Alligator mississippiensis: one gene and its partner. The main gene of each other region encodes a partner of the protein of the gene in region 2 in a complex. Links are inferred from orthologs where the notes say so. Each region holds a gene or a part of one and is shown on either strand. Other genes may lie near its edges.

Region 1 (10,356 bases), on a different chromosome or scaffold from region 2:
ACTGCAATAATGAGGAATTGTTAATACAGAAGTTCTGATGCCTCCCTTTCTGCATGTCCAGTAGTTATTACACTTACTTGCTTTCATCTTTATCTAAAATGTTTCCCACTAAGAATTCATCTGCATAGAAAAAGAAAATCAAGATTCCCACTTGCTCTTAGTGAAAGGAAAGAGAGAAGAATCAAAATCTAACTACTAAGCCAGACGTGACCATAAAAGCATAAAAGTCTCAGCTAGTTGTAGGAGATATGAAAATATCTGATGGTATTGGATAGCATCCGATAACATCTCCTGCAGCAGGAACCAACCTTTTTGGCGGGTATACTGCCAGTTAAGCCCCACAAGCTCCAGTGCCTCTCTGATGTCCTTCCCCTGCCTAATCTGCTGGTCTACTTTCTGCTCCCTGCCCAAATCTCCTGCTCTTTCTGCTCCCTGCCCCTCCCTAATCTGCTTGCATGCCCCACACAAAGGCTGCCTGTGCCACTTGTGGCACAAGTACTGCAGATTGGCCACCCCTGTCCTACTGAATGTTTCAATTTCTCTATGTATAAGCAGATCTCACTTCAAAATGTTCAGTTAGCTGTGGGTTACTGTGGCAACAAGAGTGCTCCAATCAAAAGACCATAATCTCTTTAAAACAGCAAGCCCTCTCTTTCACTTACAGTTTTTGCTTGCTTTCTGCTTTTTCTGACTCATAACTAAATTTTGTGGCTATCATAATTAAATAGCCCATGTATAGGCAATGTATGTACCTTTCTTCAAAACAAATATAATATTCACGTTGTACATATCTACATACATCTACAACTGAGGAAGGGGAATAGGAACGGCAAAAAATTAGTTACTTACCATCCTCAAATGGGGTACCTTCCGGCCTAAAAATTGAAGAAAAAAATGTTTCTATTAAAATGAATTCGTCTACTTATTCATATACCCCAACCTTCCAGGTACACCAGTCAAAATGGAAAAAAGCCAAACAAGTACAATCCTATACAATGCACAGGTTCAGATTAAAATTAATGGGTAAATCCAAATTCACAAAATACTTGAATTTATGACAAGATACTGAGTCGATTCTGACTCTGCGGGATAGCTAATGTATCTAGATAAAAGTTGCATCCAGAGAATTATATTGGGGGGGGGGGGGGGGTGGGGGTGGTACGTGGAAATTGGCTTGGTCCCTGCTAACATATCTAGATTTCCTGGTTAAGTGGAACAGAATTATTACATGCTTCTTTAGGAGAATCCTGCCTTTTCTAGAACTTCTACTAGACCCTTCACATAAGTTCAATGGTATTCACTATTCATGGGCACAAAATCTGACCACCTAAAAAAAATATATATATATTTTACTTCAAAAACTACAACAGGAGAAAAACTTATTTAACTGTGCCTCTCTGAAGGGGGAGTGAATACATACAAAACAGCATACATGCTAGTTTTCCCCTTAGTTTCTGTAACTTACTTTTACTTAATCTATGAACACATAAGTGTCTCAAAAGTTTTCAAAGAATCATTTATTATCTTTTTAAACCTGTATTTAGCCCTTAAGCATTATCATTTGTACAATGAGTAGGAAGAAAAGCACATACCCAAATATAACTGCATTCCACTGCATTATGTTATTCTCAGATGGTGCACCACTGACACCCACAGGAGGGTCTTCTTGCAATCTAAAAATTAAAAAAAAATAGTGGTAAGATACTTGTTAAAAAGTCACACACACACAATCTGGTAATAGTTAGAAAGACATACACGTGTGTGCGCGTCTAGAGTTTGCACTGATCTGCTGAATTCTCTAATCCTAAAAGAACATGGAATGCAGAGTTTAAGGTTATATGTACATTAAATGTTCCAAAGACAGAAGCAGATTTTCTGTTCAAATATTTTGTTACAATAAGACAGACCAACAGAAAAAAAAAAAAAAAAAGAGAGAAGCATAGCATGCGTTTCTGCATGCGTTTCTCCATCAAATAAGAGCAGTTATGAAACACCTTGTACATCTGGGTTTTACATTCTGTACGTCAAACGATGAAATAATGAACATTCAGAATCACTCCTGCTGGCTGCAGCAGCGAAAACAAAATGATTTATAACCACAAATTGACACACTGAAACTGCAACTATTGCGGAAACCAACCAATACTATCTATAGTATGCACGTACTGGAAGCTACAAGAACGTAGACAAGATGGTGCGTGGGGTCTGGCTAAATTCTGAACATTCAAAATCAAAACAATTTTGGCCAGCAGGACGATTGCTCTAAGAGGTAAACAGAAACATCGCTGTACTGTTTTCTTCATTCCTTCTTAGCCTGAAAACACTGTGCTTTAAAGGAGTCATAGAAGCATCTTAACTTATTTAGACACACACACACCCACGTACGTTCTGGATTAGTAAGAATGCATCAATTTCCTAGTGGAAAACATGGTACCAAAGAAGTATTGTATATGAAGTGGGAGTTTAGAGACCAAGACCTTTGCCCTAGGACTGTATAAATCCCTGGATTAATACAGATGTTGTACTACCCTGTTGGTACTATGCCTTCTCCAACATACTTGCATACAACCTGAAATCTGAAGCACTTCCAAAACAAACCAAACAGCCAAACTTGCTTCACCATAGCACTAAGAAATGTATTGTATTTAAGGAAACCCAAGCACTAAGGGGATAGGCCAAGAAACAGATTTTGATTTGATATTCTGTTGTACATCAGAAGTCAGGATAAATCCCCAATTGGTTCCCTCACCACCACTTCAGGTCCACAAGAGGGATCATGTTTTAGAATGACATATTAGCAAGGACGCTGACCATCAAGCACCAATATTGCCGCTAAGGCAAACTAGCAGCAGGGAGTTCTCTGCCCGAGATTCACAGCGTCCTTCCCAACCTGTATTTAAGCATCCTTGTTTTCTGACCTTTCACAATTTACACAGTTCAATATCAACAGATCATACCCACCACTTTGGGGAACAGTTTCTTCCTACCGGAAAAACCAGATTGCCTGCCAGTATCAAAGCCTAAGCAGCAAACTTAAGTGCTGTTCTGAGATAGCTTTGGTTCTTAAATCAGGACAAAGCTCCCCCCATACTATGCTGTGGGAACATCTTTAACTACAGAGAATTTATGGCCTGAACTGGAAGCTTAACTTGCCTGAACAGAGCCTAGAGATATTTAAGAGCTAGCGATAATGTGGTATTTATAGCATCCGTATTCCTTTTCTAAGAGCTGTAATTAGTATTTTTCTAATTTTATTCAAAGGAACTAAAGAACGGTCAGCCTTCCAATAATCTGTCAAGTTCTTCTCTCATCACCACCACACAACCACAATAAACACAGCAGAGTTCACAGCAAAACATGCAACCTGAATGCTGTTACTTTTAGACTGAAGTAATTGTTAGTAACAAACTAAACGCATTTCCTTTCCCCCTAATGTTAAGAGACTGACATTTTAAAAGAAACATGAGCTCAGCCTGGAGGTACAAGATGGTTAGGTTAGATAAATGCACACTCATTCTGTGCTTCAGTGCATCTATTTAGAGTATTTATTTACTTACTTATCCACCTCCGATGTTAACAACAGAATCAGTGTCTCCAAAAGCAATTCTTATCCATTAGTGCCATAAGTAGTCAGGTTTTTTTATATTCATTGTGACCCACCATTAGGAACAGGATTTAGATGTCCTTTTTTGCTTTAAAAGGAACTACACGATGTTATGTTTGCATTATACAATACCTGGGAAGACTGCTGACAGGTAACTAACTTCTAAACCTCAACTCAATTCCTAACATTTTAGTTGCATATCAAACTTTTAACATTGCTATATATTATGTATACATATATAGCCCATGTCAACTGTTTACTTACACATTTGCAGATACTGCAATAAAATACAGTGACCACTAATAAAGTGGCACTACTGAAACCAAGTCATCTCCAGTGATTTAGGCCAACTCCTTTTAAAGAGAACAAGAGTTTTGCCTCCAATAATTTAGGCCAACTCCTTTTAAAGAGAACAAGAGTTTTGCCTCCAATAATTTAGGCCAACTCCTTTTAAAGAGAACAAGAGTTTTGCCTGAGTAAGGGACACACTTTGCTGGGGTTATTTGACCCCAGTTGTCTTTCCTGTCCAGAGCAAGGGGGCTGGACCCGATGCTCTCACGAAGTCCCTTCCAGCCCTCAACTTCTGTACATCTGTGTGAATGTCTCAGTGCCTTCAACTCACACAGAGCTGACAAAAACCACACAACGTGGACGGCGTAACAAAGACCTTCCACACCATACCTATATATTTACGTCAAGTGGGATAATTCAAGGCATTCCCATTACAAAAAAAGAGACTATCAATGACCCCCACGCTCACTGCAACACAAAAATAAGGTGCTCTATGACGGGGATCCGCCTGCACGCAAAACACACCGCGTTGTGTCCAAAGTTTCCAAGTCCAGAAGCACGGCAGTCGCCGCCGTTACTACTACATTTACCATCGCTGCCGTGTACCTCGACCACGTGCAGGACAGTTTGGACAGGCACAACCCTGCGGGGGCCGGACGGGATCCGACTTCTCCCAGCCCGACTCCTCTGGGAGAAGCGAGTCCTGGAGAAGCCGGGTTGGGAGGGACCATTTAAAAGGCATTTGAGTGTTTATCTGGCTAAGCATCCAGGTGGCAGCTGTGTTGGTCTGGAGGAAAAGGCAATCAAGGACTCGTAGCAGAGAGGATCTCTTTTATTAAACCAACGAGATTTTTGCTAAATAAATAAATAAGTAAATAAAAAGTGTGATCCCCGGGGCTGGACTCAATCTCACGAGGTCCCGTCCGGCCCCCAATGTCTATGAACAACCTCCTTTCTCAACCTGTGGGTCAAGCCCCAAAAAGGGGGGTGCGAGGGTATCGGGAAGGGTGGCAAACCGACTTGGAAAAGGGGGGGAAGCGCGGGCTTTTCCCTCGCGGCGGCCCCACACCCCGGGGGCAGGAGCGAGGGGTGCTGGGTCTTGTCCTGAAAGGCTGGATCCAGCCCAACCCCCACCCGAGGCAGCAGCATCCCCATCCCCGTGCCAAGCGGCCCGCACAGCCCGGGGCCGACCCCCGCGGGGGAAGCAGGGCCCGGCGCCCCCTTGCAGCAACCCCAGGGCCAGAGCCCTTCACGGACACCCACCTCTTGAAGTCTCTCATGAGGCGCCGCCTGGCCGGGGTGGACATGTTCCTCCGCCCGCCCGCCGCCGGCCCGTCCCGCGAGCTCCGCCGTAACCCGCCGCCGCCGCCGCCGCGCAAACAAGCCCGCAATGGCGTCTCCCTCCGCGCGGGGGGCGGGGCGAAATGTACCACTGCCGCGGGAGCCGGGGGGTAGCGGAATGTACTACTGCCGCCACAGACACCGGGCAGCGGGCGGGGGAGGTTCTGGGAGCGCGCTCGGGATGCACCATTGGGCCTGGCCGCGGAGGGGGGCAGAGGAGAACACCCCCGTGCGTGTCGCTTGGGCTGCGCCGTGTTTGGTTCCTTCCTCCCAGCCGGCTGCGCCGGGGGGTCCGCACGCGCGGTGCAAACCCGGCCGCGATGACAACCGGCAGAAACCTCCAGGGTCGCAGCCGCGGGGCGGAGAATGAGCGTGTGCTCGCACTAAGTTGTGAGCAGAAGACTGCATGCCCTTTCCATTTTTATTGCCAATTGTAAGGAGCCTTTTTCAGGTCTTTTTTTTTTTTTTTTAAATCAAGACCTGAAAAATCTCACGCATCCAGGCTCGGGGTTTTAGACACCCCCTCACCTCAAGATTCAAAGTTGCAGAAGTTGGCAGCTCCCTGCCTGATGGCTTCCCCGCCCCGCATCCTTGCTTATGTCCTTGCAGAGATGCATCGGGCCCTTCATTCGTGTAACTCCTGCAGCAGTGTTTGTGGGGCGTGCAATAGCGGCTGGTGGGGGTTTCCCGGATGAGCGACGCTAAGCTAATTAATGCTAGGCTGAGCTTGGTACAAGCCTGTAAGTGATTCTGCTCTAATGCATCTACCATGAGAGAGAATTCCCCCTGCACCAGTTTCTGTTGTTTCAGGAAGCAATTTAGCTCCCTATTGTTAAGTATTATGTAGGGGGGAGGGGGGGAGGTTATTTTATTCTTTTACTTGCTTCCATAAGTAAGTAGGGCTGGCATTGTACTATATGAACACAAAGCAACTGAAGATCTCTGTCCTGCAAGCTTTTCTACACCTGCTAAAGCATGCCAAGTACACGCACTTAGACCCATTATCCTACAGCCCTGAAACCACTAACCCCTTGATTTAGGCACTGACATAAGGGATCGCAGAATCGGCCCTGATACAAAACAAGTTTTTCAAAAATCGGAGTAAGAAAACACAGACCCATGTAAGTGAAATCAAGCCCACTTTCAATCCTGGAGAACTATTCCTCACACTAATAGGAGCCAACGCTCGTTGCCGTACAAGCTTTCAGAACACCCTTCTCCCACCGCGCGCGCACTTCACATTCCTTTGCTGTCTGTTTCCCTCCTCTCCAAGCTGTTTGTATTAAGTGCAAGCTCTGAATTCTTCAGGAAAAGGGCTGTGTTCTCGAAAGCCATGTACAAGTCTGGCCCTGCTAAGTACTTAGTTAGTTTAACTGTATTGTGACTTGACTGCATTAATGTTACACGTCGGAGCTGTTCTCCTGCTGCTGCTGCTGCTGCACAATTTAAGAGCTCTCACTCCAGAAGTACAGTTCTCTGCTCTTTAAGGAACCTATCTGCCATTAATCTAACAACATACCCAGAATCTGTTCACACCCTTCTTTTGCAATTCATTGGATAGACAGTCTTTTTTTAAAGAAGGGAAAAGGGAAGCCACACACAAAACACCCAAATCATTCTAATCCAACCACTGCTTTGCACCTAACCAAGGGTCTTCCTTGCCAAAGGCCCACCCCATTAAGACTTCCTTAGTCACTACCCCAGGAACATTTCACCTTCCTACAACCAACTGTATATCTTCTTTCCCAACTAAGCTTTTATTTCTACAGCACGGGTGGGCTGAAGGCAGCCCACCAGGCCATTCTATCTGGCCTGTGGGGCCCCTAAAAAATTTAGAAAATGAATGTTTATCTGGCCCTGGCTGCCTGTCACGTGGCCCTTGATGGATTGCCAAAACTCAGTAAGCGGCCCTCCGCCCAAAATAATTGCCCGCCCCTGTAGACTAGGGAATCAGGCATTTTTCCCAGCTGAACCTGATAATTCCCTCTACAGGGGCAAATACGTATTCTTAAAAAAAAGCTCAGCCTCAAACAACTGATCCTTAAAAGGACAGACTACCCTTCTACAGAAACCTTCAAAGCAGGAGCAGTGTATAGATTATGATACGAGGTGTATTTGGTAGCTGTGTTGATCTGAGACAAAAAGAAATACAAAAACCTAAAACTCTTGGTTCCAAAATGATACCTTTTATTAGATCAACTTAGAAATGACACAAAAAAAAAAAATCCTTTCCGTTGGTTTAATAAAAGGTATCATTTTGGAACCAAGAGATCTAGATTTTTGTGTAGCTTATGATATGACACATAGCTGAGCCATTTTGGTTGCATACAGCAGAGGGCAGCGTTACCCTTCCATACAAACTTGTTCATGTCAAGGTTATACAGTAATTTGTCCAAAAGAATGGATCTGTCGCATGCATTTTTACTCAAAAGATTTTTTTTTTCAATCTTATTCAGGGGTTAAAGAAACATTTCAATTAATTTAGTATATTGGGAAAATAAAAACAAGGGTCTGTAAACTTTATTTCAGGAAGTCTGATGTAGCATTCTTAAACTGGATTATATGAAATTTATTTTTTTTTACATCCAATTAAAAGAATTCATGGTTAAGTTTGAAGTTCAGTCACAACTTCAGCACTAAAAGAGAGGCCAGCCCTCTCTGTGGTTTGTGGTTTCTCGTGTCATTCTCTTGCTAGGAAGATTACCCAAGATCTCACTGTAGGAGGTAATTGTTTTATGTCTGCTGGTGATTGTTTGTTTACTGGCAAATGATGTTATCACTATAGTTACCCCCTGCTTTCACTATGGGAATAATTATTTTCGATTCATCATGAAATAATGCATTACAGCAGCTGACAAAGATATGACATCGGATGCATTTCACATACTTCATAGCATCTGACAAAGTAGGTTTTTGTCTATGAAAGCTCATTTTTCTCTGAACCAGTTAGTCTTTAAGGTGCCACCCTGCCCTGCCTTCTGTCTGACTTCTGACTCACCTGGCTAACCACCTCTATTCCAGTTTGAAAAACTTTTCTAATGACTTTTTTTTCTTACAGTGTCATCCCTACAAGATAATTGATTTTTTTCATTCAAGAAGTCTGAAGAATAACGTAATGGTCTATGGCTATGCCCCATTAGCCCCAGCCTTCTGCCACCTATGATGGCAGCTGAAATGAAATAAAAACTGGCAAATTTTGGACAGCGTCATTCCTTCTGCTAATCTAAAATAGTTTATAGTTAGAAAACCAGTAAGACAGAAAATTATCTTGCATGCGTACATAACAGACAATTACCCCTTAATAAGCCTCAAGGAACTTAGGAAATAGCAGTGAAGCTGGGCTGCTTGCGTGTGCGCTAAATATTATAAATCCCGCAAACCTTAATTAACAAAAGACGTGAAGGCTTCAGTTCTGCAGTGCCCCTGCAGAGCTTCGTTACTTGCATTAACGTGTCCAAACCCAAGCAATAAAATATATTGCTGAATAAAATAATAATCTTAATAAAATAATGATAGCAACATATACAGTAATCAAAGGAATTGTGAGAAATGGATTTGCATTATTTATTTGCATTGCCCCTGGAGGCCCCAGAATGAGTCTGGAGCTGCATTCTGCTAGGTACAAATTGTGATGGAGACAGGCAGCTCCTCCCTAGAAGGGCAGAACCAATCCTACAGTCATGCAGTCTTTTAATGAAGATCAAAGGGGAAACAAAAGCATCCAATAATTCAGTATTACAGGTACTTCCTTGACATCTGCTATTTGCTCGCCCCCTTGCCAAGATAAATATTAACCAGGAAATATACCAGCCTGCAAGTATTTATAAGGACATTAAAAAATGCTGTTTACAGTCACTCCATGGGTCCACCTTGCTCACATATCCTGGGTCCCACAGCTAGCGGCTCCTCCACAGAGCTGTCACAATGCATCTGCTGAGTTCATGGACACCCCCGACACCCGCCCCTTCTGAGAGCAGAGGGAGACCCTGGCGTACGCCCTCCTGGACTGTGCCAGGCCGCAGCCCCTTCATTGCCTGCCTCCTCCTCAACCTCCTGATGCCCTACTCCCATCCCACACCTTGCTGTTTGTGCACTCCTGGTACATGGCCCCACGTGGCCCTGGGGCCTCCCCTCCTCCTGGCTGGGAAGGAGCCTCTGGCCAGGAGTAACACCCCCACCCCCAGGGACTACAGGGCTGTTTTCCTGTCCTTGGCCTGTTCACCCTCCAGGCAGTTTCACCGGGCAGCGCCCACTGGCTCCTCGGCCTTGTCTGGGGCCGGCAGGCCCTGCCTGGTGTGCTCCGCTCAGGGTCCCCCTCACTTGGAGCAATTCATCTAAACCTGTGCCCTGCCCCCTCGTCCCTGTTTTCTCTTCAGTTGCCCCCTGAGCTCAGCGGCCTCCCGGCTGAAGCAGGTTTTCACCACGCTCCTGCCCCACCAGCACCATCTGCCACACGCAGGCCGACGAAGCCTGAGGCCCTACCCGCGCGCATGCGCACGAGGGCTCGTGCTGGACGCCAAGGCACTGCAGGCGCCGCCACTTCCCTGCTCCCTTCCGCACATGCGCAGTCACCGGGACGCTTCAGGGAGGCCCCGCCCCTTCCGCTCCACTTCCGGGTGGAACGGGATGAGGCCGCGGCGGTTGGCTTGGCTGCCTGTTGCTGTGGTAACGGGGCCTAGTGGCGGCGCCATGGACAGCCGCGGTGCGCAGGTCAGCGGGCCGGGCCCCTCGGCGGTGGGGGACGGGACGGGGCAGGGAGGTGCGGGAGGCCGGGCGAGAAGGCTCCCGTTGTCCTGCGCCGCGTTGTATTGCCAGCAGGGCAAGGGAAGCGCTTGGTCCCTTCTGTGGGCAAATTGGAGAGTCCAGCGGGGGGCGACGAGAGGGTGACAGGGCGGGGACACGTGCGAGGAGAGGCTGCGGGAGCGGGGTTTATGTAGTCTGGAGAAGAGGAGGCCGAGGGGGATTGAATAGCAGCCTTCAGCTCCCTGCAGGAAGGAGGATGGAGCCGGCCGGTTGTCAGTGGGGGCAGGTGACAACAAGCAGCAATGGGCTCCAGTTGCAGCAAGGGGACTTTAGGTTACATATTAGGAAGAGTTTTCTCACTGGGAGGGTGGTAAAAC
Region 2 (10,558 bases):
TAGAATAAAATATGAAATTTGCCAGGTGCCAGCTATTTTCTGTTTCTACATGTGACAGACATTGGTTATGTCGGCTAATGCACTACTGGAAGAGGCTCAGATGCTGTGGTAAGGAGGCTGGCTTGGGAGTCTTTATAGAATGGAATACTAAAAACATAGGAAATGGCAGCGTTTTAGATCAGTGGATCCCAAACTCTGGCCAGCAGATTATTGGTAGTCCTTTATGTCACAGCAAATGGTCCATGGATTGCTTCCTCCTTTCAATGGAAAATGCGATAAGAAAGGTATGTGATGGTCCATGAGAAATTTTGAGGGGTAGTACTGGTTTGTTGGTTCTAAAAATATGTGGAATAACTGTGTTAGAAGCTAGCCAAATCCAAACTTTTAAATTGTTTCTATATGAACAGTACTTTCAAAATGGCCTCAGTACCCATGGAACTTGAGTTTTAACCTCACAAATGGCACCCTTCTTATTTAGTCAGCCTCTGGTCCTGTGACATTTCAGAAAATCCACTGGCATCTTCTGCACCATTTCACAGGTGATAGTGGCTCATCAGTGCTATCTGATATTTTTTCTTCCAGTTTTTCAATCAGGTTTTGTAACATTTCCCTCTCTGGCAGTCAGAAAGGTAGATCAGGCCCAATTATCAGAGAGCAGCTGTGGTGGTAGGGCCAGTGTTTTTGGGTGGCGTGCCAAGAAAAATCCACAACGTCTACTTGTAAGATGTTGGAGTCCCGGGCAAACAAAATGGTGGAGGGGAGGAGTGTTGGGGCGAGGGTGGGGGGTGGGGTGGGTACTTGTTGGGATGCACTGCATATTATTATGATTAATAATCATAAATGTTATTTTTCTGCAGCAAATACAAAATGTGAACAACCTGGTGACAATAAATAAAACTTCACATACTACAAACAGGAAGAGAAACACAGATGGATCTTCCTCCTGGGTGTCTGCTACAGCTGGCCTGGGCTCTGGGCAGCTGTAGCAGGTGGTGGGCAGGCTGCAAAGAGCCCCTGCACTGGCTCTGTGGCAGTGGTGGCTGCATGCACGTCTCTGGGCAGTCAGCAGGGGAGGTGCCAAACTGTGGTGCCATTGACCCCTTTCCAGCTGTGGACCGGGAGGCATGCTCCCAGCCATGGCTGCCACAGAGTCCCGTGCAGCTGTTTTCAGCCTGCCAGCTGCAGCTGGCCTGGGCTCTGGGCTGCCACTGCCTGCCATGGAGCCTGGGCTGCTTTCAGCTGAGCTGGCTGCCTCCTGATATCAGATTCATCCAAAGAACCTTGTCTGCCTACGTCCTTAGACCAATACGGCTACAACCTACACCCCTCTACCACCAGTATCATTATTAATAAAACAATCGGGGTTCATGTTGTTAATGACGTGATATAACTAACTTTATTTGCAAAAGGGAGAAGTGGTAGATATTCCTCAAGTTAATCATAACAGCTGTCATTGCTTTTGCTGTGGCAGAAACCAACCTGTCCGGTAGATTCTGTACCTCAGAAAAAGGTGTCGAGGCAAATTAACCCATGCTACTACTTGCTTGAAATCAGTGAAGACAGAGTAGCTGAGGCAACAGTGAATATAATTAGCAGTCAAAACCTAATGGATTGAAGTTTGGATTTAGCCATGCTATCCAGGGCATGGCTACATCTTGCTACTTCATCCTTCATAACATAGCTAAGATCCAGGCTTCCTTTTCCATTCACACACATAGCTAAAACTCTCACCCAGGCTGTTGTCATCTCATGTCTCAACCACTGCAAGCTTTTCTTCCTTCCCATCCTTGACAAATGCCATCTTATACCACTAAATATCCATTAAAAATGCTGCTGCAAAAATATTCTTTCTGGCTTCAACCTTGTTAGCCTCTCTTTGTAAACAGAATAAGGCTGATGATGATGCCACTTGGTGTTTGCCATACTGAACAGTATCTTTGTACAAAATCATGACGGTCAAAGAAAGATGCCACCGCCGGGATCCTACAATGTACTCTGTATATACATGATCTTACAAGTTAGTGTGCCAAAAAGAGCTTCAAGTCTTGAAGCAGTGACCAAAGGATAGTTCTAAGAGGAACTTGAAAGCAGAGAGAGAAAAAACTAATAACAGTACTGTATCTTCAGAGGCAATTGTGGCCCTTCAGAAGCAGCGAGGGGTATAAAATTCAATTAAAAACATCACCGATAAGGTAACTTGGGATATGTGAGCTCCACAGTTTGCAGGAAAAGGAAGGGATTTACCTTTCACAGCTCATCAAAAGAATGAAAATATGGTTATCGTCTCATAGTGGTTCTTTATACTGTATTGGGTCATCCCCTTTGTATCTTGGTTAAATGAAAAGATTTGCCAGCTTGGAAACTGAATGAGCTGAGCGTCTAGAGACCTGCACATTGTTGACACTTCTTTTTTAGAAAAAGTTTCTGAATTTTTAAGTAACGTTCCATGATACTGCCTCAAAATGCAAGAGTCTAGTCACGGCATCCACTCTGGTTACTCTGCTGAATCTGAGACGAGCACTGGATTAATTTATCAAGATATTTGCAAACAAGAGAGACAAATGACTTGATCTTCTGTGCTAGGCTTAAAGCAACAGTGGAGAAAGTACTTGCTTACACATCATTAATTGTGAAACAAATGCCTTTGTAATTTTTCCCTGTGCATGCTTACTTGTAAGTTGGAAACTTTATGAGAACAACATAAAAGTAAATATTATAATACAAAATGCATGTGTAATGTGTGCAGTTACACTATAGGGGGCCTATAATTTCATGTCACAAAAAGGCAGAAAATATCAATGACACTTTGGAGCTGCATTTTTTTGGCTTATTTCAATAAGCCACTGAGGGAAAGACAAGAAGAAAAAAAAAAGGGGGAAAGGAGAGTTTTTTAAGAGGAAAAGGAGAATAAAGGAAATGATAATAATAAAATAGGGGACATTTGGGAAGAATAGATTTGATAAGGATGGATTGTAGGCCTATGTAAAGCATTTGGACTGGGAGCAGACATTATAAGGAGCAAATTCACTGTGTGGCCTTCCCCAAATATATAATTTTAATTTTGTTTATGTCTTACATTTGTTCTAACATACATATTAAAAGTCATAGTACTATATACAATGCACAGTGTAATCCAATTCTGTGACTAGCCTCAGGAGTGAAGAAAGACTCTGCACTTGCTCAAACCTAATGGAAGTAATGCTTATTAAATTCAGAACAATCCAGGGTCCCTGCCACATGTTACATATATTACACAATTAACAATTAAATCGCACAATAAATTTAGACTGATCATGAGTCCAAAATTAAGACTGGCCACACATACAAAGTAATCATCATGCCATAAAAATGTCTATTCAACTGTAAAAAGGGGCAACCAGGTACAAAGTTAGTGCTTGAAACTGTGTAATAACTCTATGGCTCCTGCTACATATATTACACAATTAACTGGTAAATTGTGCAATAAATGTACACTGGATACATGTGCAAAGTAATTATTACATAATTGACTGGTTAATTGAACAATAATGTTAGACCAGGCACATATGCAAAGTAATAAGGCACCTGCTATGCTACATATATTATCCAATTAACTGGTGAATCGCACAATATACGTAGACCTGCCACACATGCAAAAGTAAGACTGACCACAAGTGCAAAGTAATTATCACGCAACTAACTGGTTAATCGGATGGAAGTTAATAAACTGACTTCCATTCAGCTTTAACCTGAGGGCCCTAAGCTGAACTTGCTGTCAGTGATATGATATTAGTAGCCTTGAAATGGCCTATTGAAGGCTTCTCATAGGAGCCCCTGACTAGCTTTGTTAATTTTATGGCTTCAAACAGCTCCCCCACACCCACTGATCTACTTTGCCAGCTGCCTTCTCTTTACTCTACCGGTGCCCCTTTTTGGGCCTTGCTGCATGTTCAGATTAAAGGTGGATAAGAAACCAGCTATAGAGCTGTTACACATTTTCAAGCACTTTGTTGCTGGTTGGCTCTCTTAATAGCTAGAAAGTAATTTTTACAGTGTGATAATCACTTTGCACCTGTGGCCAGTCTAAATGTATTGCATGCTTCACCAGATAATTGCATAGTAATTATTTTGCACATGTGGCCGGTCTCCCCTTGCATGTGTGGCTGGCCTAAATCTATTGCACGATTTGCCAGTGAATGGTGCAATATATGTAACGTGTAGCAGAGGCCTTTATTTTCAGTGATGGGGAGGAGGTTTCAATGTCAAAGTAGACAGTGGGATGGATGGACGCACCAGAGGCTTGGGCACTTCATCTGTACGCAGGTAAGTGGCCTGTGTGAGAGGGGGAGAGGCAGGGCAACGTGAGGCCTGGGCACCGTTGGATTTTTGTGCCAATGGTGCACTGAAGGTAAAGCATACGAATGCAAGAAACTGCAGCTGGCTGCACCCACCCGCGGTGCCTCTAGCCCAGTGGGTCTCAACTGTTGTAGACCTCAGGCACCCCTCAGACTGTGTTCACCTGCATTGCCAGGTCTTAACTATGAAATTATTGTACTGGAAGCTCAAAAGTATCATATTTCCATTCTCATTAAAAAACTAGGGGACTGTGGCATCGATACCGATCAGGCCGCAGTTGGAGTACTGTGTTCAGTTCTGGGTGCTGCACTTCAGGAGGGATGTGGACAGCATCCCTGAAGGGTCCAGAGGAGGCCACTCGCATGATCAGGGGACAGCAGGGCAGGCCGTACGAGGAGAGGCTATGGGACCTGAACCTGTTCAGCCTCCATAAGAGAAGGCTGTGCGGGGATCTAGTGGCCTGTTACAGACTAGTCAGGGGGGACCAGCAGGCATTGGGGGAGTCCCTGTTCCCCTGAGCACTACCAGGAGTGACTAGAAATAACAGTCACAAGCTGGCAGAGGGTAGATACAGGCTAGATATCAGGAGGTACTACTTCACTGTCAGGGCGGCTAGGATCTGGAACCAACTTCCAAGAGAAGTGGTGCTGGCTCCTACCCTGGGGGTCTTTAAGAGGAGGTTAGATGAACACCTTGCCGGGGTCGTTTGACCCCAGTACTCTTTCCTGCCATGGCAGGGGGTCGGACTTGATGATCTGCTCAGGTCCCTTCCGACCCCGACCAACTATGAAACTGTAATAGCTGAAAAATGGAAAAAATGCAAATAACTCTTTTTCTTTACTTTATATTGCTCACTTGAAGCAGTGAGTGAGCGAGAACTGGGTCATCAAAGTGGAAGTGTTTTTTTTTTATTTTGAGGCAAGCCGTCATAAGAAAGCACTGACGGCCAACCCCGAAGTTGGCGAAGACTCCCTCAGAGCGACTCGGGTTTGGCACGTGCTGTGTCAACTCCCCGCCTTGACAGGTCTCGTACATTTTGAAAGAGGAATCGGGACTCATGGGAGAGGTGATATCTTTTATTAGACAAACTAGATATTTGCAAAAAAAAAAAAAAAATTGTTAAATATTGTTTAATTTAAAAATACATTTTGAATGCTTTTACTCTCCTACTACCTTTGAAATGACCTCACAAATATGATTATTGATAATATTATCATTATAATCATTATAATTATAATTAAGTTAATTATGATACTATCCTTGAAATGACGACACAAACATGATAATTACTGGTAATTATGATAATTATCATACTGATCATTATGATATTATCATGATGATCATTATAATTATAATTATAATTATAATTATGATACTATCCTTGAAATGACCGCACAAACATGATAATTATTGGTAATTATGATAATTCTCATACTGATCATTATGATATTATCATTATGAGCAGTATGATCATTGTAATGATGAGAATTATGATACTATCTTTGAAATGCCCGCACAAATATTATAATTATTGATAATAATCTTATCATTATGATCATTATAATTGTAAAAATTATGATACTATCTTTGAAATTACCGCACAAATATAATTATTGATAATTATGATAATCATTATGATAATGGTGATAATGATCACTATGATCAGTATGATCATTATAAGTATGAGAATTATGATACTGTCCTTGAAATGACCGCACAGATATAGTAATTATTGACAACCCCGCGGCGGGGAGGTCGCCGCATCTCCCGCCTTGGCGGCCCCGCCCCCCCAGAACCCCGCCCTCCGCGGGGAGATGGCACGTGACGTCAGGCGTGGGGGAGACGGGGGAAACCGCGAGCTCCGGCGGGCGAACTACATCTCCCAGCGGCCCCCGCGGCGCCGACCCGGAAGTGTGACGCACTGCGGGCGCGCGATTCGGACGCCGGTTGGGCTGTTCCCGCGGTGCCACCGCTGCCCCCGCCGGTCCGCCCGCCATGGCTCTGGCGCTGCTCGAGCCGCGCTGGCCGGAGCGGCTGTCGCCGCTGAAGGTGGGTGCGGGGACGGCCGGGGGCAGGGCGGCAGCAGGGAGGCAGCGGGAAACCCCGGGGCGCTGGGCCCGGCGCGGGCTCTCCGTGGCCCGCGCGCTGCAGGTGGGGGCGGGGCGGGAGAAGGGCTTTCTCTGAGCAGCCTCCAGGGTGGAGACTGCCCGCCCCTGGGTTACCACCCTGCGAGTTTTGCACGATATCCAAATTAAACCTCCCTTGCTGCTACTTGAGATCATCGCTCCTCGTCCTGTCATCTGTCACCTCTGAGGACAGCCCAGCGCCATCCTCTTTCTACCCCTGCAGGGAGTTGCAAGGTGTCACTAAATCCCGCCCTCAGTCATTTCTCCACACTCAATAACCCCACTTCCCTCCTCTTCTCCTCAGCAGTCGTGTGCCCCAGCCCCCGAACTGTTTTATAGCCCCCCCGGTCCCGAAGGACGACAGACAGACCTGCTGTTTCCATTGAACACCCCCACGTAACCTGTGCATAGGCTCACGGACAGGGTTGGCAGGGGCCGCGGGAGGTTGCATCTCATCCGAGCCCTGCTCAAAGCAGGAGCAGCCCCAGTTTCCGTCTAACGGAGATGAGACCCCACCACCTGCAGCTCCCCGGCAGCCCCCGACCGTTTGCAGTCGTGACACATGCTGGGGGCAGTGGGCGACCGACCTGTTCAACTTCTTTTGCATCCCATGAGGGGGCAGGGTTAATTGCGTGTGTACATAAATCAATGTATATGGAGAATACATTCGTGCAGATTGCTTCTCCCCCTTATATCTTGGCTCCACTGTATGTACACTCTGCAGTCCGTTTTGCTTGCATCTGCCCGTGACGTGCTAGGGGCACGCGGTAGGGACCTTGCCAGAATGGCTGCAATGATATAAAGAGACTGGACCAGGCATATCAGGGCCCGAGCAATGATACAGGTGCAGGGATGGACTTTTGTCTGGAGGTACAAACAGGTGTTGTCCTGAAGCAATGCTTTCAGTGGTGCTTTTGGTGACGCCAGTGATAATTTGTTCCTGTTGCAGGCAGTGGACGACTTGCTGCGTTGTGGGATATGCTTTGAGTACTTCAATATTGCAATGATCATCCCACAATGTTCACACAACTGTGAGTACAGGACAGTTTCATATGAATGTGCATGTATTATGCTAGTGTTTGACTTCTGAATTTTGCTCCATGATCAGATTGGTACTGGGGCAGAGGGGGCGGGTGGGCTTGCCTTCCTCCTGTCGCAGGGGCATGGCCCATGGCCTGGGATCTCAAGCATATACTGACAGTATTTCATAGAAGCACGTCTTTAGCTGCCCTGGTTCCCCTGCTTTATCTGTGACAGGTTAGGGGGTGAGGTCTGTGTTGTGTCATGGGTGACGGCAGTCTTACGTAGAATTTAGATGATGGATTGTATGGGATGGTTTGGATGGGGATGATCCTACCTCAGGCAGGGGGTTGGATTAGATAATCTCTGGGGGTCTGTTCCAGCCCTTCTTCTCTGTGATTCTCTCTGACTTTTATTTCACGCCCTCATCTGTCTTACTACCTTCTTAGCCTCTCTCTGTATAAAGGAGAACACAGGTTACTTACTGCTGGACTGTACCAGTTGTCGTAGGACTAACATTATAGTGTGTGCTGGGTCGCGACAAATGCCTGCCACTGACCTAGTAGTTACAGTTTCCAGCCACTTGACATTGACCAGATGCCAAATGTGATGCGACTGAATTGGGCCCAAAGTGTGTGGTTAATCAGTATATACAGAGAATACATTTGTACAGATTGCTTCTCCCCCTCATTTTTCTCCATTGTGTTTAAAGTCTATAGTAAATTTTGCTTGCATCTGTCCATGACATGCTAGGGCAGGAGCGGGCAATTATTTCAGCTGGAGGGTTGCTTAACAAGTTTTGGTGAGCTGTCAAGGGTTGCAAGGTTAGCCCTGCCCCTTGACAGGTGCCCCACCCCCTAATTCAGCGTTTTCCAACCTCTTTCACCCCACAGCACACTTACCTAAATAAAAAAGCACCACGGCACACCAGATGTGGAGTTGGGGTAGTGCATAGCCAGCCGGACGCTGACCTGCGGGTGGAGGGAAGGGCATGTGGCCAGCTGGATGGCGTTTTGGGTTGGAACTACACCCGCTGGCTGGCTGGAGCCACGCTCCCCATCTGTCTGTGTCCGCAGCAGCAGCAGCAGGCGGGGGGCATAGCTCCAGCCCAAAATGCCGTGGCACATCTGGACGTGCCTGATAGCGCACCAGTGTGCCACGGCACACCGGTTGGGAAACGTTGCCCTAATCGCCATCTTGGGACTGGAAGCCCCTAACCCCTGACATTTGACACCAGAAGTCATCCATATTGTCTTCTCCCCCCCACCCACCCTCCCTCCCATGGAAGTAATCCTTCTGGGAGGGGGGGTTGCCATCTTGGAACCAGAAAAAAAAAAATTGTATACTCAAATCAAACTACTATAACACATTTTAATTTTATTTTAAAAAATATTTTGGCCCTGATTTATGTGCTTTTGCATAGTATATAAAAAGGTGGTTGCATAATAGTTCAAATAAAGTCTTACTCTTCTACGTTGTGTGTAGAGGGGCATGGGATGTGGTCGGTGGGTGTGTGTGTGGGATTTGTGGGGGGTGTGGGGTTTCTGAAGGGGTATGGGTATGTGTGCCTCCTCCCCCATGGTGTACAGCCTCCGTCACTGACAGCAGCAGTAGCAGGTAGAAGCACAGAGCCTGCCCATTTTGATGGTGCATGACCTCTGAAAGTCTGCCTCCTGCTGGCTTTCAGAAGAGCAGTTGCAGGCCGGTAATAATTTTTTGGAGGAGCCCAATGGGCCGGATAGAATGGCCTGGCAGGCTGGATCCATATTTTGCCCACCCCTGTGCTAAGGGCACATTGTAGGGATACCTTGTCAGAATGGTTCCAATGAGATAGACTTATTCCAGTCTCCCTATCAGGGCCAGAGCAATGATACAGGTGGAGGGATCACTTATAATCCATTTAAACTCACCAGAGCTTAGGGATGTGCTGTTGTTTTACTCCAGTTAGCTCAAACCCTCCTGTCACTTATCCCAGTGATGTGCAGTATGAAATCTCACCAGAGGTTTCCTCATAAAAATTCCTCTTTTTCAATGTTTCACATGCAAAATTATGATCTGACTTCTTTGGAATGCAGTGCTCAACTTATGGATTCCTGACAGACATTTCCTTTTTAAAGTATATAGTTTTCTCAGTCACTGTCTAATCAGCAAAGAGCCCTAGATACTAGTGGCTATGAATGAAAGGTGCTTTCAGAAATGCAAGCTGTATTTTGGACAGTAACTTTTCTTGGCCTACCAGATTAGAGCATAATTCATCTAACTGCTTAATATAGTGCTGGTCCCAATTTGTTGCCTATTGTTTACATTGGTTTTCTGTATACGAGTAAAGTATCTTAATCACTTAAGCCCAAAGCATTTTTGAGCCCCACTGCCTCCTTCGTAACTTAATTGCATCCCATTTGACTGTACCAGCAAGAGCGAAGGGGAAAAAATCTATCAAATGGGTGCTATCTGAAGCCTTTAAAATTATAGGAGCTAGTCAGTGTAAGGCAGTCAACCTTTTGGGCAGGCATAACCCAAATTAGTTATACACCCTCCCCAAGTGTCATCCAGTCTCCTTCCCCTGCCTGATCTGCTGCTCTGCTTTTTGCTTCTTGCCCTATCTACTGCTCTGTCCTCTTGATTTGCTTGGCACATGCAGAGGCTGCCCATATTAGTTGTGGCACATGTTTACAGGCAGCTGCTACCTCATCAGTGACAGCACTGTGTACTTAATGAGCATTGTTGACATTCAGTTTGGATAGGTGTATGCTCCAAGTAGTGCCTAGCTATTTTTCAGTCCCGGACCATGCACTTAGACAGAGTACCCTGTACAATCCCTGTTCTTGCAAGAATGCAGAGATCTGTTGCATGAATTTATCCATTTAATATAACATAATTTTTATTACAAAGAGGATATTTGTTACCAGCTCACCATTGAAATGTCTTTCAGAATGAGAATTAGTAAAACCTAGGGACAGGAGTAGGATTCAAAGCTATATGGTAAACAGTATGAACTGAGCTGGAGTTTTCCATTCTGTGTATCTGCCTTGGGCTGGATTTTGTTGGAAAGTGTCAGCAACATGTTTTAGCCTTTT

The links.
Region 1: the proteins of RAD18 (region 2) and UBE2B are in contact, whole or in part, in a crystal structure (PDB 2YBF), measured with the Homo sapiens proteins. The link is inferred for Alligator mississippiensis from reciprocal best matches to the Homo sapiens genes RAD18 and UBE2B. Residues at the interface, in NP_064550.3 of Homo sapiens: Tyr342, Arg343, Lys344, Lys345, His346, Lys347, Glu349, Phe350, Leu353, Val354, Gln356, Ala357, Arg358, Lys359, Gly360, Tyr361; in NP_003328.1 of Homo sapiens: Pro20, Val22, Gly23, Val24, Ser25, Gly26, Ala27, Ser29, Glu30, Gln35, Asn37, Ala38, Val39, Phe41, Gly42, Pro43, Glu44, Glu49, Asp50, Lys54, Leu55, Val56, Leu73, Ser74, Asp151, Ser152.

Annotation. Positions count from the first base shown.
Region 1 is NC_081832.1:70,119,671-70,130,026, reverse strand, and holds the start of UBE2B (ubiquitin-conjugating enzyme E2 B), read right to left. Parts: upstream 5,297-10,356; 5' UTR 5,203-5,296; coding exon 5,159-5,202; intron 1,674-5,158; coding exon 1,593-1,673; intron 876-1,592; coding exon 850-875; intron 1-849. UniProt on the Homo sapiens protein: E2 ubiquitin-conjugating enzyme that accepts ubiquitin from the ubiquitin-activating enzyme E1 and transfers it to a E3 ubiquitin-protein ligase. In vitro catalyzes 'Lys-11'-, as well as 'Lys-48'- and 'Lys-63'-linked polyubiquitination.
Region 2 is NC_081835.1:14,536,087-14,546,644, reverse strand, and holds the start of RAD18 (E3 ubiquitin-protein ligase RAD18), read left to right. Parts: upstream 1-6,254; 5' UTR 6,255-6,330; coding exon 6,331-6,384; intron 6,385-7,410; coding exon 7,411-7,492; intron 7,493-10,558. UniProt on the Homo sapiens protein: E3 ubiquitin-protein ligase involved in postreplication repair of UV-damaged DNA. Postreplication repair functions in gap-filling of a daughter strand on replication of damaged DNA.